Linked DNA regions of Macaca fascicularis. The main gene of each other region encodes a partner of the protein of the gene in region 2 in a complex. Links are inferred from orthologs where the notes say so. Each region holds a gene or a part of one and is shown on either strand. Other genes may lie near its edges. The genes, in order: MIDEAS, DNTTIP1 and SAP30.

The links.
Region 1: the proteins of DNTTIP1 (region 2) and MIDEAS are in contact, whole or in part, in a cryo-EM structure (PDB 6Z2J), measured with the Homo sapiens proteins. The link is inferred for Macaca fascicularis from reciprocal best matches to the Homo sapiens genes DNTTIP1 and MIDEAS. Residues at the interface, in NP_443183.1 of Homo sapiens: Pro63, Ser66, Leu69, Leu70, Ala72, Val73, Leu74, Pro76, Ser77; in NP_001036783.1 of Homo sapiens: Gln768, Asp771, Leu772, Thr774, Ala775, Ser778, Ser779, Ile802, Leu803, Leu806.
Region 3: DNTTIP1 (region 2) and SAP30 share a complex: the UniProt entries of both Homo sapiens proteins name them as parts of the histone deacetylase complex. The link is inferred for Macaca fascicularis from reciprocal best matches to the Homo sapiens genes DNTTIP1 and SAP30.

The regions. Positions count from the first base shown.
Region 1 is NC_088381.1:141,654,794-141,661,045, forward strand, and holds part of MIDEAS (mitotic deacetylase-associated SANT domain protein), read right to left. Parts: intron 3,687-6,252; coding exon 3,341-3,686; intron 1,221-3,340; coding exon 1,154-1,220; intron 668-1,153; coding exon 525-667; intron 415-524; coding exon 311-414; intron 1-310.
Region 2 is NC_088384.1:101,820,552-101,827,583, reverse strand, and holds the start of DNTTIP1 (deoxynucleotidyltransferase terminal-interacting protein 1), read right to left. Parts: upstream 4,188-7,032; 5' UTR 4,120-4,187; coding exon 4,015-4,119; intron 3,442-4,014; coding exon 3,371-3,441; intron 2,206-3,370; coding exon 2,109-2,205; intron 1-2,108. Other genes in the region: WFDC3 (WAP four-disulfide core domain protein 3), read left to right, coding at 6,170-6,251, 6,805-6,933. UniProt on the Homo sapiens protein: Increases DNTT terminal deoxynucleotidyltransferase activity (in vitro). Also acts as a transcriptional regulator, binding to the consensus sequence 5'-GNTGCATG-3' following an AT-tract.
Region 3 is NC_088379.1:178,116,842-178,123,681, forward strand, and holds the end of SAP30 (histone deacetylase complex subunit SAP30), read left to right. Parts: intron 1-1,020; coding exon 1,021-1,146; intron 1,147-1,573; coding exon 1,574-1,672; intron 1,673-4,849; coding exon 4,850-4,972; 3' UTR 4,973-5,178; downstream 5,179-6,840. UniProt on the Homo sapiens protein: Involved in the functional recruitment of the Sin3-histone deacetylase complex (HDAC) to a specific subset of N-CoR corepressor complexes. Capable of transcription repression by N-CoR.

The DNA.
Region 1 (6,252 bases), on a different chromosome or scaffold from region 2:
TCAGGTCCTCTTAAGAGAGACCATGGCCCCAAGGGAGGCAGCACTGCTGGAGAAGGCTCTCAGCAACCATCCAGTCTGAGTCCACTGACCCAAAATCAGGGATGGGAATGGACGGGAGAACGCTGCACAGCAAAACCTGGGGGCCGAAACTAGGGCTCCCTCGGGTCAAGCCTCTACAGCCCCTTCCTTAGTCAGACCCTCCTACTGGCCTCAAAAGTGCATGCCAGCAGGCCTAGCTCCTGAGCAGCAGACATGGATCCAAGCCAGCCCCCACTGAGGGGTCCTCCCTCTGCTGGGGGCGCCTTCTCACCAGGATGTCTCCTCTGGACTCGTGCAAACAGTGCAGGGCTAACTCCTGGTTGGTGCCAGCACCAGGGAAAATGCTGGAGCAGGCAGCTGTCAGCAGGTCTTCCACTGGATCCACAGGAGCATGAGGGGGGAGGGGAGGAAACCACGTTCAGCTCGGGGCTGGGCAGGCTGAGGCCTGTGCCTGCCCTCACTGGCTGCCCCAGGCCCCTCCTCACCTTGCCTCTGCTTCTCCCGGCTGCTCTCTAGGTTCTCCCATGGCTGCCACACCAAGTCGGCCTTGTGGGGATCTGCAGCTGCCAGGGCACGGTCCCTGATCAAGGGGATTTCCGCCTGGAACCGGGAGCCCACGTTGATCCGTCTAGAGGAATGAAAAGGGCAGGAGGTGAGGCCTCACCTTGCGGGGACAGAGAACTTGATGATCCCTCAGGGTGGGAAGAAGATGAGGGGGAGCCGGCAGAGCAAGGCCTCAGCTAGGTGGAGGGAGTCTGGCTTCTAGGGGATTGGGAGGACAGTCTGACCTGGCACCACTAGAAAGGCAAGGTCCAGAGGCAGGAGAAGGGAGAAGCAGCTCCAGGTTTACAGATGGGAAAGAGCCTCTGGACCCCCCTTCCAACTCTCCTAGAGATAAGTTCAAGCTGAGCCGGTCCTTGTCCTTCCCTGCAACTTCCACACAGAGGCAGGGCGGGGACAGCAAAGTCCAGGGCCAAATACAGAAGCTCAGGGAGGCCCTCTCAGCCCTATGCAGTCCCCACGGAACCCTCCTGTTGCTCCCAGGGCCCACCTGCACACACTGCACCAGTGTGGCCACCCACACACCCTCGGCCAGGGGCAGGGCTGCACTTACGGCTCGATGCTCACTGGGGTCGCCTCCCCCATCACAGAGAGGACAGGCGGGGTGACTTCAGCACTGTCTACGGGACAAAGAGCAGGTTGATAAATAGTACCTCCTTTTAGCAAAGCACCCCCAATCCTAGTGGCTGCCCTGTATGTGCAAGAGTCACAGTGGTGACACACAGAGCTCACACAGGGAACACAGGCACCTGAGTCCTGGCTCTGCAGCCTGCCACCTACAAAAACGCAGGCTCTTCACTAAATATTTGGGTGCCTCAGTTTTCACACCTACCAAAAGGGACGATTACTACCTGTCTCCTAGAGTTAATGTGAGAACTGGATAAAATAACACACTGAGCCTGGCACTCGATAAAGATTATTATTACTGCTTCTACAACTAAAGCCATATCCCTGCCCCAGAAGCTCCAACACTAGAGAATCAGCTCCAATGTAAAGCTGTGGTTTTCTAGTAAAGAGACTGAAACTTTGAGCACACTAGGGAGGTGGTGAAGGGCATCGCTGTTATACAGTTATTGTCTCACTTTCTCACTTCCTCTTTGGATTTTCCGCCTCAGTTTCTCCCAAGCTAGTTTTTTTTCTTTCTTTCTTTCTTTTTGAGACAAAGTCTCACTCTGTCTCTGCCCAGGCTGGAGTGCAGTGGTGTGATCTCGGCTCAAGGAGTTGAACCTCTAAGTTCAAGCGATTCTCCTCCCTCAGCCTCCCAAGTAGCTGGGATTACAGGTGTGAGTCACTGTGCCCAGCCCCAAGCTGGTCTTCTTAAGGCCCCACATGATCAAAACACTCCTTTGCTCAAAAACAAAAAAGAAAAAAAAAAATCTTTGCTTTTTACTGACTCCCTGCTGCAATGTGAGATAAAACCTGCAACCCTCCCCTCAGAGTTCAAGGTAGTTCCGCTTCCATCTGTACCTCTCACCACCCATGTGCCTGGACCTGCATCCTAGCTGACTGCTTATCTCTCGGCCCCTCACTCTCCCTGCATGGTCCCATCTACAGGCCTTTGCATCAGTCATTTCCTCTCCCTGGTGTGTCCTCCCTGCCCCTGCCCTCCTCCATCTCTGGGGCTCAGCTCTGGCCCCACCCCACTTGAATGCAGTCCTCACCAGCCCAGGCTAGCTGCTAGGGACTTCACTCACTGGCTACAGATCCCACACTGCCAGGAACCTCTGTTTTTCCAACTCCCAGGCTTTCATGTCAACTCCCTAATGACCTTGCATTCTCTATAGAACAGACCACGGTGTCCTGTACATTCTTGGAGCCCTCACAGGACCCAGTTCAAGGCCTTACGCCCAAGTGTTCGGTAACTACTCGTGGGCAGACTGACCTCTCGCTGGCTGCCAGTCTGATCTCCACAATGACTTCCTCTTCCTACACAGCCTAGCCAGGGAGAAGCCTCCCCAGGAAGCAGGACAGAAGGCTGGCCAGCCTAGGGCAAACATTTTGCACCCACAGACACCAGGGGGCACCAGAGAGCTACACCATGGGTGAGGTCACAGTCAAAGGTTAATTGGCCAAAAGCATCTATGAGCTAGCTACTTCCACTTAATCCTCTCTACCACCCTAAGGGATTGGATTACCCCATTCTGCAGAGGAAATGGATCTCCTTGTGGAGTGGGCAACACTTTTCGGCAGGACACCACCCCAAGCCAGCCCAATATTTCCAGAGTGTCTGTTTTTGGCCAAAATGACTGTTTGAGAGCCCCAGAGACCAGATCTGCTGCAAAGGACTATGAGCAAACAGGATGGCCTGGCATGATGTTCCAGCTTTATGTGTGCTAATGCACCTGAGCCTAGGAAGTGGTCATTAGGTTGAACCAAAGGAAACTACTATTTGTGAACCCAAAAATAGTTGAATATTGGCAATTTCATCATCAACCAAGTACTACTAATATCCCCATCTTAATACTGAAAAAACTGAGGCCCAGGGAGTTGAAGTGACTTGCAAAAGTGGATGTAACAGTAAATGATGAAATTGAGATTTGAATCCAAGCAGCTGGGCGGGCCCTCCGCCCCTCCTTGTTGAATGAGGACAACCTCCTTCTCAATCTCAGAGAAGACAGAGCAGAGCTCCTTCTCCCAGAGTGTTCCAGCCCAATCCCGCAGCAGCCCCATAGGCTGAGATGCCTCCCTGCCCACTGCCCCAGCCCCGCTCCTGCCAGGGCCGCGGAGGGAGGTCACTCACTAGTCCGGAGCAGCGTGCGATGGGCACTCTTAGGTGTGATGGGAGGAGGGGCGGGGATGGTGTTGGTTGATATGATGGCATTGAAGTAGAGGCCAGAGCCTTCCCGCACAGGGCTGAGGATGGGGGGCGGCGTGTAGGGAGGCAGCTCAAAGCTCCGCTCAGAGGGGTGGTCAGCTAGGCGCACAGGAGAGCGCAGGTGGCTCTGGTATGGGGTGATGTTGGAGTAGACGGGAGGGGCGATGAAAGTGCCCGCCTTGGTGGGAATGATGAGGGGCTCGGGCCTGGGCCGCTGCTTTGGTTTCCTCACGGAAGGCTCCCCCTCCAACTTGACATTTATGTCTTCCGCCTGGAGAAGGAAAGAAAACAAAGATGGCTCAGCCTTGTGTCCCAGGGAAAGTGAAGTCTTAACCACAGCTTGCCGGTCTCACCTTTGGAACTTAGGCTGCCCACCACACCCACCAAGGCAAGCCTGAAAAAAAGGAGCACGTCCAAAAGCCCTTATTGTCTCCTCTAGGCCAGAGGTCAGCAAACTTTTTCTGTAAGGGGCCAGAGAGTAAATATTTTAGGCTTTGTGGGCCACATGTGATCTCTGTTACATATTCGTCTTCTTTCCCTTTTTCTTTTTAAAACTAATCGTATAAAATTGTAACACCATTCTTAGCTCTGGATTTGGCCCCCAGACCACCGTTCCCCACCTCTGCTGTAAAGTGTGTGACAGGGCAGAAGAGTACAGTAGTTCAGGGCCCAGGCTCTGCAGCTGGACTGCTTGGGTTGGGACCTACCACCTTTATTGCCACTTAAAATTACTCAATCTTTCTGTGCATCTTCATTTTTAACATGGTGCCTACCTAGTAAGTGCCTACTTACTGGGGTAACTATGAGGACTACATGAATTAATACATGGAAATCACTGAGAACGCTACTTGGTACCTAGTAAATATTGGCTATCACTACTTAAACTCCAGGCTCTGCGTTAGATGAAAGTTCCTACTGCGTGCTAAGACCTGAGCTGGGCATGGGACTACAAAATGGAATGGACAAGGCCGGGCGTGGTAATCTCAGCACTTTGGGAGGTCGAGGTGGAGGGATCACTTGAGGTTGGGAGTTCGAGACCAGCCTGGCCAACATGGCAAAACCCTGTCTCTACTAAAACACAAAAATTAGCTGGGCATGGTGGCAGGTGCCTGTAATTTCAGCTACTCAGGAGGCTGAGGCACGAGAATCACTTGAACCCGGGAGGTGGAGGTTGTAGTGAGCCAAGATCGTGCCACTGCACTCTAGCCTGGGTAACAGAACTAGACTCTCTCTCAAAAAACAAAAAGGAAAAAGAAAAAAAAAAAAATGGAATGGACAGTCCTTGTCCTTGCAGAACTTTTGTTCTCATAGTATTAATCCCACTAGGAAAGTCTAGCCCATGCACACTGGCAAAAGTTAGCCCGCCTACTTCTCCTTGCTAGGTGTGCCTCATGGGCCTCTATCTAGAATAGGGAGCAGGACTATAAGACAACAGAGGCCTTCCCTTGCTCGATTCCTATAATCTCAAAGGCAGAGAATGGAGCCCTACAAGGTGAGCAGCATCCAGTTTATCCCTCTGCATACTCAGTATAACAGGTAAGGCTGGCCATGTTGACCAAGTGGGCCTTAGAATAATGAGCTGTCTCCCTGCCAAGGTTCTGGCTCCCATAAACACCTTCCAGCAGAGGGCCCTGACTCCCCTTTGAGGCTGTGGCCATGTCCTTCACTCATCTGCGCCCTCTTTTCCCTTCTAGAAATTGGGATGAAATGAAATCGTTCATTTTTCTTCCCTTAGGGAAACAATATGATTGCACAGAAAAAAAAAAAAAAAAAATGCAGGAGCCAAAGGCCCCCCCCCCCAAACTTTCTTGACAAGAAATCTAACCAAAAAATCAGCTGGCTGTAATCATTTGTAATTTTATAATAAGAGATTTAAACTATTCTGAATATTTGACAAAAACAGTCATGTTCATTTCTTAGGTGTGGTAATGCTACTGAGATAATGTTGAAGAAGAAAGAGTCCTTATGTATTTCAGACACAAACTGAAGTATATATGGATGGAATGATACGATGTTCAGGATGTGCTTCAAAATAACCTAGCGGCATGGAGAAGCAGAGGTACAGGTGAAACAAGATTGGCTATGTTTTGATAACTGTGAAATCTGGGTGATGGCTAAACGCTGGCATTCATTATAGCCCTCTCTACTTTTATGCATGAAAGAAAGTATCTGTAGTACAAAGAATAAAAACTAATGAATGAAATAAACAAGTAACAAAACCTCCCCCCAAAGCCTGGTGTAGTAGAAGTACTCACAGGCAGGGATTCAGGAGATCCCAATTCTAGGGCTAGCTCTACTATTACTTGGCTGTATGACCTTAGGTCAGTCTCTTGTCTTTTCTGGACCTCGCTCCTCATTTATAAAATAGGGGCATTGAGCTGTGGAGCTGCTGAGGCTCCTTCCTGCTCACTCTCAGAACAAGCTGCCCAGACCTCCAGCCTCTACCACAAACTTTTCCTCAACCAGGGAACAGGAACCCAGAGAGCAGAGACTGTGGTGCTCCCCTGCCTATGACAGAGGCATGCAGGCCAACTCTCCAGCTGAGAATAACCAGAAAATCTGGACTCGATATGCAAAACACATTTCTGAAGATATCAGAGGGCAAATAAGCAAAGAATTAAAGAGCCAAGATCCAGGGGGAAAAAAAGAATGCTAAAGAGGTGAGCCCAGTATTTGAAGCTGCGTTTTCCCTAGAGGTGAATGCTATTACTAGAAAAGGCAACGGAGAGGCTGAGAAACTGAGCAGAGCTTTTAAGAAATTTAAGGAACTGACACAATAAAAACTGAGGTTTGGCCAGGTGCAGTGGCTCACGCCTGTAATCCCAGCACTTTGGGAG
Region 2 (7,032 bases):
GGAGGCCAAGGTAGATGGATCACTGGAGGCCAGGAGTTCAAGACCAGCCTGGCCAACATAGCGAAACCCTGTCTCTACTAAAAACACAAAAATCAGCCAGGCATGGTGGTACACACTTGCAATCCTAGCTACTCAGATGGCTGAGGTGCAGGAATTGCTTGAACTTCAGAGGTGGAGGTTGCAGTGAGCCAAGATCTTACCACTGCACTCCACCCTGGGTGACAGAGCAAGACTCTGTCTCAAAAAAAAAAAAAAAAAAAAAAAAAAAAAAATCTGTCCTATTACTCGCCTGGCTTATTTTCCTCTAGTCACACTGGCCTATTCATTGCTTTGATGTGCCAAGCACACTCCTGTCTCAGAGCCTCTACCATTTCCTCTGCAACTGGACTGCTTCTTCCCCAAGTATCTTCATGGTTTGCTTTTTCCTCACTTATTCAGGTCTCCACTCAAATGTCCTCTATCAAAGGCTTTCCTAGCCACAATCTATAAAACAGCAACCCTACTCTCTACTGGTTGCTCTCTTTCCCCTGTCTTCTCTCTTTCTCTAACACAGCACATATTTGTTTACAGAGAGCATATGTTCTGTTTACTGCTACATCCCCAGTGACTAGAATAGTGCCTGGTAGTATAGTAGTCATTCAATAAATACTTTTTATTTTGAGAGGGAGTTTTGCTCTTGTTGCCCAGGCTGGAGTACAATGGTGCAATCTCAGCTCACTGCAACCTCTGCCTCCCAGGTTCAAGATTCTCATGCCTCAGCATCCCGAGTAGCTGGGATTACAGGTATGTGTCACCACGCCTGACTAATTTTTTGTATTTAGTAGAGATGGGGTTTCAGCATGTTGTGTCAGGCTGGTCTCGAACTCCTGACCTCAGGTGATCCACCTGCCTCGGCCTCCCAAAGTGTTGGGATTACAGGTGTGAGCCACAGCGCCCGGTAAATAAATACTTCTTACATAAATGAATAAATGTAAGAGGAGGAGATTTAGGAAGAAAAACAAAGAGTTCAGTTCTGAACATACTGAGTTTAAAGCATCCTCTTTTGGTACATTTAAGTAAAGTCATGTGGAAATTTATTTATAGGCCAGGGAAAAAACCCGTAAATAATAATAATAATGGCAACTTTATTTATCTACATATATTTTTCGAGAAAGGCCCTCACTGTCACTCAGGTTGGAGTGTAGTGGTATGATCATAGCTCACTACAAACCCAAACTCCTGGGCTCAAGTGATCCTCTCGCCTGAGCCTTCTGAGTAGCTGGGACTACAGGCACGCACTACCATGCCTGGCTAATAAATTTTTTTTTTTTTTTTGTAGTAGAGATGAGGTCCCACTATGTTGCCCAGGCTGGTCTCAAACTCCTGGCCTCAAGTGATTCTGCCTCGGCCTCCCAAAGTGCTGGGGTTGCAGGTGTGAGCCATTGTGCATGGCCCCAATAATGGTGATATTATTAAACAACTAATAGAAGTACTTACTGGACACTTGTTATGTCCTAAGTGCAGTGCTCAGCACAGTACATTTAAGTCATTTCATCCTTACAAGAAGTCAGCAAAAAAAACAAAAACAAAAACGTGACAGTGAGTGACAAGGGCAGATTTAAAAAAAAAAAAAGATATCTGAATTACCCTCAAGGAAGGGATAAAATTCTTGGGGGATTAAAAATTTGAAAGCTGGCCGGGCGCGCTGGCTCACACCTATAATCTCAGCACTTTGGGAGGCCAAGGTGGGCGGGCAGATCACTTGAGGTCAGGAGTTTGAGACCAGCCTGGTCAACAGTGAAACCCTGTCTCTACTAAAAATACAAAAATTCGCTGTGTGTGGTGGTGGGCGCTTGTAATCCTGGCTACTAGGGAGGCTGAGGCATGAGAATCGCTGGAACCTGGGAAGTGGAGGTTGCACTGAATCGATATCATGCCACTGCACTCCAGCCTGGGTGACAGAGTGAGACTCTGTCTCAAAAACACAAAACAAAACAAACAAAAAAACAAAAAAACAAAAGGAAAACTTTAGATATCTGTGTGTAGGAAAGAGACGGACTGGTGATGCAAGGAAGGACTGGGCTCCTCATGAGTCTTTCCCGTTATTTTTTATCCTGTGTCCCTCTCACCTTCATGTACTTGTTGAAGACAGTCTGGATCTCCTCATTGATGCTAGGCTGCAGGACAGCTCGGAGGAGATCCATAGAGATGGCAGGATCTGTGAAACTGCATTCAGGAGGGAGACAGGGTGAGGGGGCATGTCCGAAACATATTCTTTCTCACCTTGCCCAGTCAATTATGGACATAGAATTCTTTAACAATACTAGACAACTTTTACTGAAAACTAGCTACATGCTCAGATTTTGTTCAAATCACAAAGGCATGACTTTATTTCATTCTCATAACTCTATGAAGTGGGTATTATTTTCAAAGTTTTTTTTTTTTGGACGGAGTCTCACTCTGTTGCCCAGGCTGGAATGCAGTGGTGTGGTTTTGGCTCACTGCAACCTCCGCCTCCTGCGTTCAAGCAATTTTCCTGCCTCAGCCTCCCGAGTAGCTGGGATTACAGGTGTGCACCACCACACCCAGCTAATTTTTGTATTTTTAGTAGAGACCGGGTTTCTCCTTGGTCAGGCTGGTCTCAAACTCCCAACCTCAGGTGATCTGCCCGCCTCAGATCCCCAAAGTGCTGGGATTACAGGCGTGAGCCACTGCACCCGGCCATCTTTTTGTATTTTTAGTAGAGACAGGGTTTCTCCATGTTGGTCAGGCTGTTCTCAAAGTCCTGACCTCAGGTGATCCGCCCACCTCAGACTCCCAAAGTGCTGGGATTACAGGCGTGAGCCACTGCGCCCGGCCCAAAGTGTTTTTATGAAATATAATACTTATTATACAGAAAAGTCTATACACTTTAATGAGTAATTACAGTGAACATCCAATTCACCACTACCAGCATCCCAAAGGCCCACCTTGTGCTCTCTCCCTTCCCTGAGATGGATACTATTAATCCGTCTTTATAGTTGAGAAAACAGGGGCTCATCAGAGGCTGCATGAGAACACAGTTGTCTGACTCCAGAGCCCGTGCTCTTAAACTCCATGCTAACTGACCTCTTAAGAGCCCTCAATCACAGAGCCAGTGAATGTGAGGGGTCTTAGGTATTTTTTATTCCCCAACCCATCTCCTGTGCCCTTCCCCATTTCGTGAGTTCAGAGAAGGAAGTGACTTGACTAGCTCAAGATCACACAGAGTTACAGGATCGGAGTCTCCTCTTTCTCAGTCCTGTGCTCTTTCTACAGGCTGTAGATCTCCATAGTCTTGTGCACTGGGGATCCCAAAGCTGCCATGCAAGCCAGTGGCTGGGATACAAGTCCCATGCAGGGCCAGCCTTACCTTGTTGTCATCTGTGAGCGGCGGCCCCTCCGCTGCACCTGCCGGTGCTTTATCATTATGTTCCAAGGGTTCTGTGGGGACCAACGGAACAAATGTCACTGCGGCCTGTGACACTGGCGTGGGGTGGAGGTGGAGGGTGGGTATGAAGTTAAACCTAAACATTCCTGCTTCTCAGATCCGTCACCATCTCTCCCGCCTTGGGGTATCGGGGGAGGACAACAGTTGGAAGGCCCCCTCCACAAAAGAGGAACTGAGGAAGTTTCCTGCCTTAAAAGTCCCGACCCTGCCTTCTGGCACGGCAGGAGGAAGGGAAGCAGTGTTTACCGAGGGTCAACTCTGTGTCAGGTGATGTCCTGGGCGCTGTACCCGCCTTTATCTTCCCATCCCACAACAACTTTTATGAGACAGGTACTAATCATCTCCATTTTATAGAAGATGATCTGGGGACTCAGGGGGTCGACAGAGCTGGCCCACGTCACCTAGCTAGGAGGGCGGCACCAGAATTTGAATCCAGGTCGTCGGGCTGCGAAAACGCCAACCCCCTCTGCAGCTGCAGCCGCCGCGTTCTCGCCCGCGGGCCAGGGTCCCGGGAGCCCCGAGGCCCTGCCCGGCCCGAGCCCAGACCTCACCGGGGGCGCCCTCACCGTGAGAACCAGCTGCCCCGCTGCGCCCGCATCCCCCAGCTCCAAGCCGCCCCGCTCGGCCCCGCTGGGTCCCCGCGGCTGCTCGGCGTCGCCAGTGGCTCCCATGGCGCCCCAGGCCACCACAACTTCGCCGGACTCTGCCACCGGCCGGAAAGTGGCGCCGTGACGTCACTGAGGCGCGCTGCTCGTCCGCCCGGAAGCGCGACGCAGGAGCTGCGGGGTTACCATGGGAACCGAACCGCCGCGCCTCGCCCGGGACAGTTACACTTAGACGCCTTGTGGTTGGAGGTCGTTGGGGCTTCCTCTCGGGAGGGCTGCCCCTCGATTGTGGAGTGTGGGTGTTCAGTGGCGGTTCAGTCAAGGGACGTTTCCCGCTGGGCCAAGGCCTGTGGATGACTGCGGGGTAGGAGGAGGGGAGCTGGTTTCTGTAGGCTGGGGTTGGGGAGCAGAGGGAAGTGTTTGGTGCAGCGACGCCTGCAGTTCAGTGTTTGAAGACTAGATTTTAATATGCTGTGCCAGGGGCGGTGGCTCATGCCTGTAATCCCAGCACTTTGGGAGGCCGAGGCGGGAGGATCACTTGCAATCAGGAGTTCGAGACCAGCCTGGCCAACATGGCGAAACCCCGTCTCTACTAAAAATACAAAAATTAGCCGGGCCTGATGTTGGGCGCCTGTAATCCCAGCTACTCAGGAGGCTGAGGCAGGAGAATCTCTTGAACCCAGGAGGCGGAGGTTGCAGTGGGCCAAGATCACGCCACTGCACTCCAGCCTGGGCGACAGAGGGAGACTGTCTCAAAAAAACAAAAAACAAAAAGCAAAAAAAACAGGCGTATTAGGCACATGTTAGGTCGTCATCAAATGTTAATTATGCCGAGATTGTGCAGTGAGCCGAGATCGCGCCACTGCACTCCAGCCTGGAGGACAGAGGGAGACTCTGTCCCCCCCCCCCCAAAAAAAAAAAAACCATATTAGGCACATGTTAGGCCATCAACAAATGTTAATTATCTCCATGAGCCAACATCAATCTTATAACAATAAGGGCAACTTCCTGGCTCCAAACTTTTTCATCCTATTAGGGAGGTTTTAACCTTGTACCTGCCCATAGGACTAAGCAGTGCCAGTGGACACCATTGGGTATCACAGCTGACCAAAGGCATAAAGAGGACAGATAAAGAAAAAAAGAAATAGAGGAAAAAGAAATAAAGGTGGTATATGTAGGCAGACTATCTGAGTCATACATAGCAACTGTTCTCTTGAGTTCTGCCAGCTAGCCTTCATACAGTCCAAGAATGGCCTGTGTGGGCTAGAGGGACAAAGATGTAGGTGTTTGGTGCTTTTTCATTAGTTCTTAACAAACTCAACTACTGCCTTTCTGTAGGTTTTTGATAGTTTCTCCCCCCGCCTTTTTTTTTGAGACAGAGTCTCACTCTGTTACCCAAACTGGAGTGCAGTGGCATGATCTCCACTCACTGTAACCTCTGCTTCCTGGGTTTAAGCTATTCTCCTGCCTCAGCCTCCCAAGTAGCTGGGATTACAGGCATGTGCCACCACGCCTAGCTGATTTTTGTATTTTTAGTAGATACAGGGTTTTGCCATGTTGGCCAGGCTGGTCTCGAACTCCTGACCTCAGGTGATCTGCCCACCTTGGCCTGTTTGATAGTTTCTGAGTGGTCTGTTCCATTCTGTCTTTTCTGGGTTGCTAGGATGAACAATTTTGTTATGCTTGGTTATGTTATTAGCTTTGGCTATTTTCTTAAGCAGTGTCATGAGTCCCTCCCTCTGTCATTTGGGCTAAAGCCAGGTCCTTCCAATGCCCTTTAGGGCACTCTTTGATTCTTTTTCCAATGGCCGTCCTTCCATTTTTCCAGCCACCCACTAGGTTTCTCATCATCCAGGAATATTGTGTATATTGCTTATAGAGTTTGATCCTCCTATCACATGTGCCCTTTGGAAGTGCCAGGAATTTCCCCACACTCCAGCAGCCAATCCCTCTTCCTCTTGTCAGGAGAAGATATTCTTGATAGTATTGTGAAAGGGAAGGCTTTGGGACTGGGTTTGGGGCCATCCCTAGTCCTGCCCATACCTCAGCTGATACTCTGGGCAAGGTGTACAACTCTAGCCTGAACTAAGCTCTCATCCCAACTCTCAGCATCATCATGATGTTAAGCTGCCTCTTTCTTGTGAAGGCACTTCTTGCTCTTGGGTCCCTGGAATCCTGGATAACTGCGGGAGAACATGGTGAGCTATCATTTGGGATCCCTGGCCAAGAGTAACAGAAAGTGACTAGAGGAGAGAAGTCATCCCCTGCCTTCTGCCAGAGCAAGGTTGCTCGTAGGTGGAGATGATCATCTCTGTAGGACAGGACTGGATGAATAGATTCTCAGGATGGCCTGGGTCGTTCTTCCTGGCTTTCTTTACCCTCTCTGGACAAGGAGATAAGACTTCCAGTTGGGCTTACTAGAGGTTCTAGCTTTTCCCTAGAACTCATTAAATGAGAACAGGATCATCCCAACCTTTCTCTCTCGTTATCTGCGGGATGGCTGCTCCTTTAGTAGTGGTGGATGTATGTTAGTATTTGTGTATTAGGAGGGGAAGGTGGTTGCAGAATTTTTTTTTTTTTTTTTTAAGAGACAGAGTCTCATTCTGTCACCCAGGCTAGAGGGCAGTGGTGCAGAAATATTTTGGATAGAGATGCCTGGAGGGGCTGAAGATCCTTGAAATATGTTTGGCCTCCATTCCCCATTTTTGAGGCCTGGCTAGTTACCCCAAACTCACATGATATCTTTTGCAGCAAAAGAGGGAGAATGCCCTCCTGATAAGAACCCATGCAAAGAGCTGTGCCAGGGCGATGAATTGTGTCTGGCTGGGCAGAAGTGCTGCACCACAGGCTGTGGTCGGATCTGCCGAGACATTCCTAAGGGTATGTTGGCATGAGGGGCAAAATCTGGGCGTACTCTCTGACATTGCCTCTGGGATAGATGGAAGCAGAGAGCTTCCCACCTCCTAGGTTGCCTCTTGA
Region 3 (6,840 bases), on a different chromosome or scaffold from region 2:
GTTCGCAGGAGTGTGTGTAATTAAAGTTTTTGAAAAGTTTATTTGTGATACTTTTTTGCCCGTTTAAACAGTTTTCAGTGTTATCCGTGAGAAACTTTTCAGGTGAACTTGCATAATTTCAGATTGCTTTGGGAAAATGTGTTATAAATAAATACATTGATTTAATTTAATATTCAGAAAAGTTGATAACTGAAATTTAAATATAGTTATGAAGTCGATAGCTCATTTGTAAAAACGGATGGTTTTGTATCCGGAATATAATTTGGGCATTCAGTTGGAAAGACTGGAAAGCATACATTATGTTACAAAAATATGCTCTTCTTTAAGTAGAGAAAGTACTGTCAAGTAGCAAAAGTGGGCAGCATCATCTTTCCCCTTAACAGTTAAAAATTCAACATGAACTAATTCATGTCATCCTCACTGCTATTTATTTATTTATTTATTTATTTATTTATGTGAGACAAAGTCTCACTCTGTTGCCCAGGCTGGAGTGCAGTGGCGCGATCTCAGCTCACTGCAACCTCCACCCACCAGGTTCAAGTGATTCTCCTGCGGTAGCCTCCTGAGTAGCTAGGATTACAGACTAGTGCCACCACGCCCGCCCAATTTTTTGTATTTTTAGTAGAGACGGGATTTCACCATTTTGGCCAGGCTTGTGTGGAACTCCTGAGCTCAAGAGGTGCTGGGATTACAGGCGTGAGCCACCGCGCCCGGCCCCTCACTGCAATTTGATGACAAAACCCAGAGGGTTGGAATTTCTCATTCTCCTCTCCCTCCCTCCCTTCACCCCTTCCCCAAATGGAACCAACCCCTCCTTCCCCATCCACCATCCTTTTAACAGTATTCCAGACTTCTTATGTTTTAACAGGGTTTAGGATTTAAATGTATAAATATTTCATTGTGTTAACAATGGCCATCTTGACTGTCTTTATTTTTACTATCTGTGGCATATGTGTTTTCCTAATACATAGACACATTTTACTGTAATCATTAGCAGTGTGTGAAACTTTTCTGTTTCAGGCAAGGCATCTTTACATATGTGATTATCATAAAAACTTAATTCAGAGTGTTCGAAACAGAAGAAAGAGAAAAGGGAGTGATGATGATGGAGGTGATTCACCTGTTCAAGATATTGATACCCCAGAGGTAAATGGAAGTTTTTTATGCTTAATATAAATCCTAAGTAGTGCATTCTGAAACCTTTATAAAAAGATATGAACAATCTTTTAAGTGTTTAAAACATTTGAGAAATCTGAAAATGAAAGCAAAATTAAATATAGCCAGTTGTCATGCATTTACACAGTTTGAATTGTTACATTTTAAATTGACAATTTTTGCGGCTCTGTTGTCACATAACTTACTCTTTTTTGACCTCAGTTTATATTATTAATCCCCAAAAGATTAAACTGTTTAATAATTTATAGGTTTGATTATGTAAATTTTTTAAATAATTTTTTTGATTTTGGAAGTAAATTTTTATTGTGCTGAAGTTAAAATGTTTGTTATTATACATATCGATGATAAATTTTCCACAAATTGTATGAACTAATTTATGCATGTTAATTTTTTCTAGGTTGATTTATACCAATTACAAGTAAATACACTTAGGAGATACAAAAGACACTTCAAGCTACCAACCAGACCAGGACTTAATAAAGCACAGCTTGTTGAGGTATATATGATTTTTAAACTATTTGAACTATGCACAACCGAGAGGCTGTTAAATGCTAATGAAAGTATTAATGTAGTATATGTAACAGTACATTTAACAGTACATTTTATTTAGAAAGAACAATGTTAAAAAATCTATTGTGGAAGAATCTAGTTGTCTAAAAATGTTTGTCAGCCACTTAGGAAATTCCTTTTTGTAATGACTACTCAGCAGGTTGTGTACAGCACCTTCTGATACTGGCTTTCAAAATGTGTTGTTTGTTTTTTGAGACAAAGTCTCGCTCTGTCACCCAGGCTGGAGTGCAGTGGCACGATCTCGGCTCATGGCAACCTCTACCTCCCAGGTTCAAGCAATTCTCCAGCCTCAGCCTCCCAAGCAGCTGGGACTTCAGGTGTGCACCACCACACCAGGCTGATTTTTGTGTAATATCTTTAGTAGAGATGGGGTTTCACCATGTTGGCCAGACTTGTCTCAAATTCCTGACTTCAAGTGATCCGCCCACCTCAGCCTACCAGAGTGCTGGGATCAGCAGTGTGAGCCACCGTGCCTGGCCCTCAAAATGTTGAATGAGAGTTTTTTTTAATCCTCACTTTAGAAATCTATTAGTTTTAAAACTCCATTTAACCAGTAAATGTTTGAGCATCTAATTGAGGCATAATAAATTTAATTAGCAAGCTTTAATGTCCTTATTAAAATTTATATTTTAAAGTGGTGGAGTAGGCCTACAAATCAGCCCCTAAACAGTATTTTTATAATTTGCTGACTTAACTATTTCAAAATTGGTCCTTGTTGATGTTAGTTTTATTAGAGACATCTATGTTTTCTTCACATCTAGAAGAGGCAAAAGCTTTTCTTTTACCCAATCTTTTACTTGTAGTTTGCTTTGACAGAGGACTTCTAGTTAGTCAGTGAGTTGTGAAAGTTAATGGAGTATGCATATGTTCTCAGGATATAATAGAACCAAGAAGTCTGTGCATCTTATTAAGATGCTTATAGATTGATATATTTATATTTTAATCATATTTAAAATTTTTGCTTGCAGCTACTCAGGAGGATTGATTAATCCTAGGAGTTTGAGTCACCATGGGCAACATAGCAACACTCCATCTCTAAAAAAGAAAATTTAGCCTACTAGACAAAATAGAAGTGTAGATATATAAATCGGTTTTCTCATATTCTTTGCATGGATTTAGTAGTTACCCAACATTTTCTAAAATGTACAACATTTCATTGAATAAAATGAAATATGAATAGAAGTTACATTTATCTGATGGAACGCTTTTTAACATTGTTAAAATCTAATACATTAACTATTTAGCTAAAATTTCTTATCCTTGGTTAGGCAACACGGATCTAATTAATTTTTCTTTAATTTTGATTTAAAAGATCAAGTTCTTTTGGGGTTGTACAATACATTATGTAACGTAAATATAGATCTTGCCCACCATGATGAAATATTTCAGTAGGTACTAATGGAGTGAAGGCACCCCTGTTTTGGAACAAATGAGAACCAAAGAACTAATTATTTTAAATGTTACATTTAGGTATAAATTAAACCTGAAATTTTTGATAAACTGACCTTCTAAGAACAGTTATATTATTTCTAGAGCTATTTTCTTTTTTATACATAAGAGATAGCCATGAGTGTTATATTTTACTTAATCAGAAATGCAGTTATTAACAGGTTAAGGAATGTGGAAATGTGCAGATGTAGTACATATATTTTAAGACAGGGGTCCCCAACCCCAGGGCCATGGACTGGTACTGGTTGATGGCCTGTTAGGAACAGGTCCACAGAGCAGGAGGTGAGCACCAGCTAGCAAGAATTACTGCCTGAGCTCCGCCTCCTGTCAGATCAGCCGTAGCATTAGATTCTCACAGGAGTCCAAAACCACGTGTGAAGTGCACATGTGAGGGATCTAGGTTGTACGCTTGTTATAAGAATCTAATGCCTGATGATCTGAGGTGGAACAATTTCATACCAAAACCAACTCCCCCACCCCCAATCTGTGCAAAAATTGCCTTCCGTGAAATCGATCTCTGGTGCCAAAAAGGTTGGGGACCACTGTTTTAAGGGATTCCAGGGTTGTATGACTAAGTCTTAAGTCTCGTAATTGTTGTGTGGATGAACTTTTTTCTTAAGAAATTCTATTTTCTGGAATCTAAATATGCTTGTCAGCACCTCAGGTAAGTCTATTAATCTTCTATTCGTAATTGTAGTATGCATATTACATTAGCACAATGAAAAGGCAAGGAAGCAGGTAAACATCCTTCATTGAACATCCCTCTTTCTCCTCTCATTTCCATTCACAATTTTTATTCAGAAAAATTTTCAAGGAACCTTAACCAAAGAATGCTACCAAGATACGAATGAATGAATGTAATTTGCAGCAAGTAATTTATATGTTATTGTTGATTACTACCAAAAGTTTTCAACTTCATACTTCTTTTTCTATCAGTAGGGTCTAAACCATTGCAGGTTTAATGATGCATGTGGTCTCTTACATCTGTTTTATCTCATTTAAAGTTTAAAAGTAAAAACATGTATTCCCTACTCTAGATTCCAATTATAAAATTTATTATTTTTATCTTATTTATCTTTTTTGAGACAGAGTCTTGCTCTGTCACCCAGGCTGGAGTCCAGTGGCGTGATCTCAGCTCACTGCAACCTCCACCTTCTGGGTTCAAGCAATCCTCCCATCTCAGCCTTCTGAATAGCTAGGATTACAGGTGTACACCACCACGCCTACTTAATTTTTGTATTTTTTTTTGGTAGAGATGGGGTTTTGTCATGTTGCGCAGGCTGGTCTTGAACTCCTGGGCTCAAGTGATCCCCCTACCTCCGCCTCCCAAAGTGCTGGGATTACAGGTGTGAGCCACCACTCCTGGCCCAATTATAAAATTTAAAATAAATAAAAGGAAAATGTATTTTCTAATCAATGTATAGTAAATTGAGTGAGCCAAAAGGTCCTTTGAAATCACATTATCTCTTGTTCATAACATTTTATTCTTAAATGCTTTTTGTCCTGTTGGTATTTTCTTAAATATAATTTTTAAAGGAAATAGCTCTTATCACATAGATTTTTTCTTTGGATGAAACCGTATTTTTTACCTAGTTTATGAAACCTGTTATATCTAAAATTTAATTTCCTTAATTTTTTTTTTTTTTCTTTATAGATAGTTGGTTGCCACTTTAGGTCTATTCCAGTGAATGAAAAAGACACCTTAACATATTTCATCTACTCAGTGAAGAATGACAAGAACAAATCAGATGTCAAGGTTGATAGTGGTGTTCACTAGGAGACGTGGAATTGAGACTAATAACTTGGATGATAACACTGTTTACTGTTTTTTCACATGTAGAAATGTTCTTTGTGTATTTTTTCTACAGAGGATTTTCTCTGATTTTATTTTCTTTGTTTCTGACTCTAATAATTAGTTGGAAACTCATGTAAAATGAGCTTTCCTAAATTAAAAACTATTTTAAATAAAGGTTATTACTATTATAGTTGCTTCAGTGTATTTATTTTGTGAAACTTGATTTTTCTTTTAAACTGACTTAGAGATCAGTATTGATATTTTAATGTAAAGTCCTTCATTTTATAACCCCCTTTTTTTTTTTTTTGTAAACTTCCAAGAAATTAACAGGGTAAGGAGAAGTAACAAATGTAGCACATTTGCATTCTCTGGGACAATCTGACTTGGAATTGAAGATATTTTAAATAGCATTATTTTTTTTAAGTGCTTTATAATGCTAGCAAATTTGAAAAATAAGCTTCTATTGGAATACAACTTCTTTTTTATTTCCTTTTTTTTTTTGTTATTATTACTTGATGAAGTACTAGGAAGAACAAATGGTTTAATTTATATACCCACCTCGTTCCAAAGACAACTTAATGTGCCAGTGAAGATAAACACAATGCTGAAAGTCGAAATAAGAACATGAAATGAAATAGCTGTTTTTGAAAATTTTGTCTTTGGGAAAAGATATTTATGTGGCATGAATACAGAAAGTACCTCTGCTATGCCCCTTAATTTTTAGTGATGTCCTGTACTGTTTACATTGCAAATGGTAACTAGTAAGTTGGAGAGGTCTAGATATCTAACAAGATCTTCATTTAAATTTTGGTTATATATGACTGACTTGATTTATCCATCTCCGTTTTATGTTTCATTCCTGGTCAGTTTTCTATCAAACATTCTAAACCTCTGCTTTTCCTGAGATTATATTGTTTAGCTAAATCCTTATAATTACAAATCAAATTTATAGTTTGTAACGCTTCAGCAAACTGTTGTGAGATAAAGCTGCGGATTTTAGGCTGGAAATGGATGAGACCATTAATGTAGCTCATGATTTCTCAAAGTTGACATTTGGACTCAATAATTCCTTTTGGTGGGAGGCCGTTGAGTCTATTGGAGGATTAGCAACATCCCTAAGTCCACTCAGTAGGTGCCAGTAGCTCCTCCAAGGTGTGACAACCAAAAATTCCTCTAGACACTGCCAAACATACTTTGATGGTCAAAATCACAGCTAGTTGAGAACCACTGATGTAACTAAAGTACTGCATCTAAAGTACTAGTTCATTAGTAGGTGACTGCATATTTTCAAGTGTTCTTAATGTATTGACTGCTAGAAAATATAATGAACAATAAAGCAACTGGTCTTTGGTTTTGCTATGACCATTGAAAGATTTGCTTGCTACTTTATTAGCAAGCACAGGCTGTAATAATTGCTGTCATAGAAACTTCTCATTTCTGGAATTCTGGAAATCTGTGAGAAGACTTCTTATAAAAACATTTTGAGGCCGGGTACACTGGCTCACACCTGTAATCCCAGCACTTTAGGAGGTCAAGATAGGCAGATCACTTGAGCCCAGGCATTCAAGGCAAAATGGTGAACCCTATCTCTACAAAAAAATACAAAACTTAGCTAGGCCTGGTGACGTGCATCTGTAGTCCCAGCTACTTGGGAGGCTGAGGTGGGAGAATCACTTGAGCCTGGGAGATTGGGGCTGCAGTGTGCTATGATTGCAGCACTGCACTCCAGCATGGGCATTGGAGTGAGACCGACTCAAAAAAAAAAAAAAAAAAAAACCCAAAATGAAACCCATATTCTGTTCTTGTGAAAAACAAAAGCTTGAAATTATTTGCTGATATAAAAGTATGAA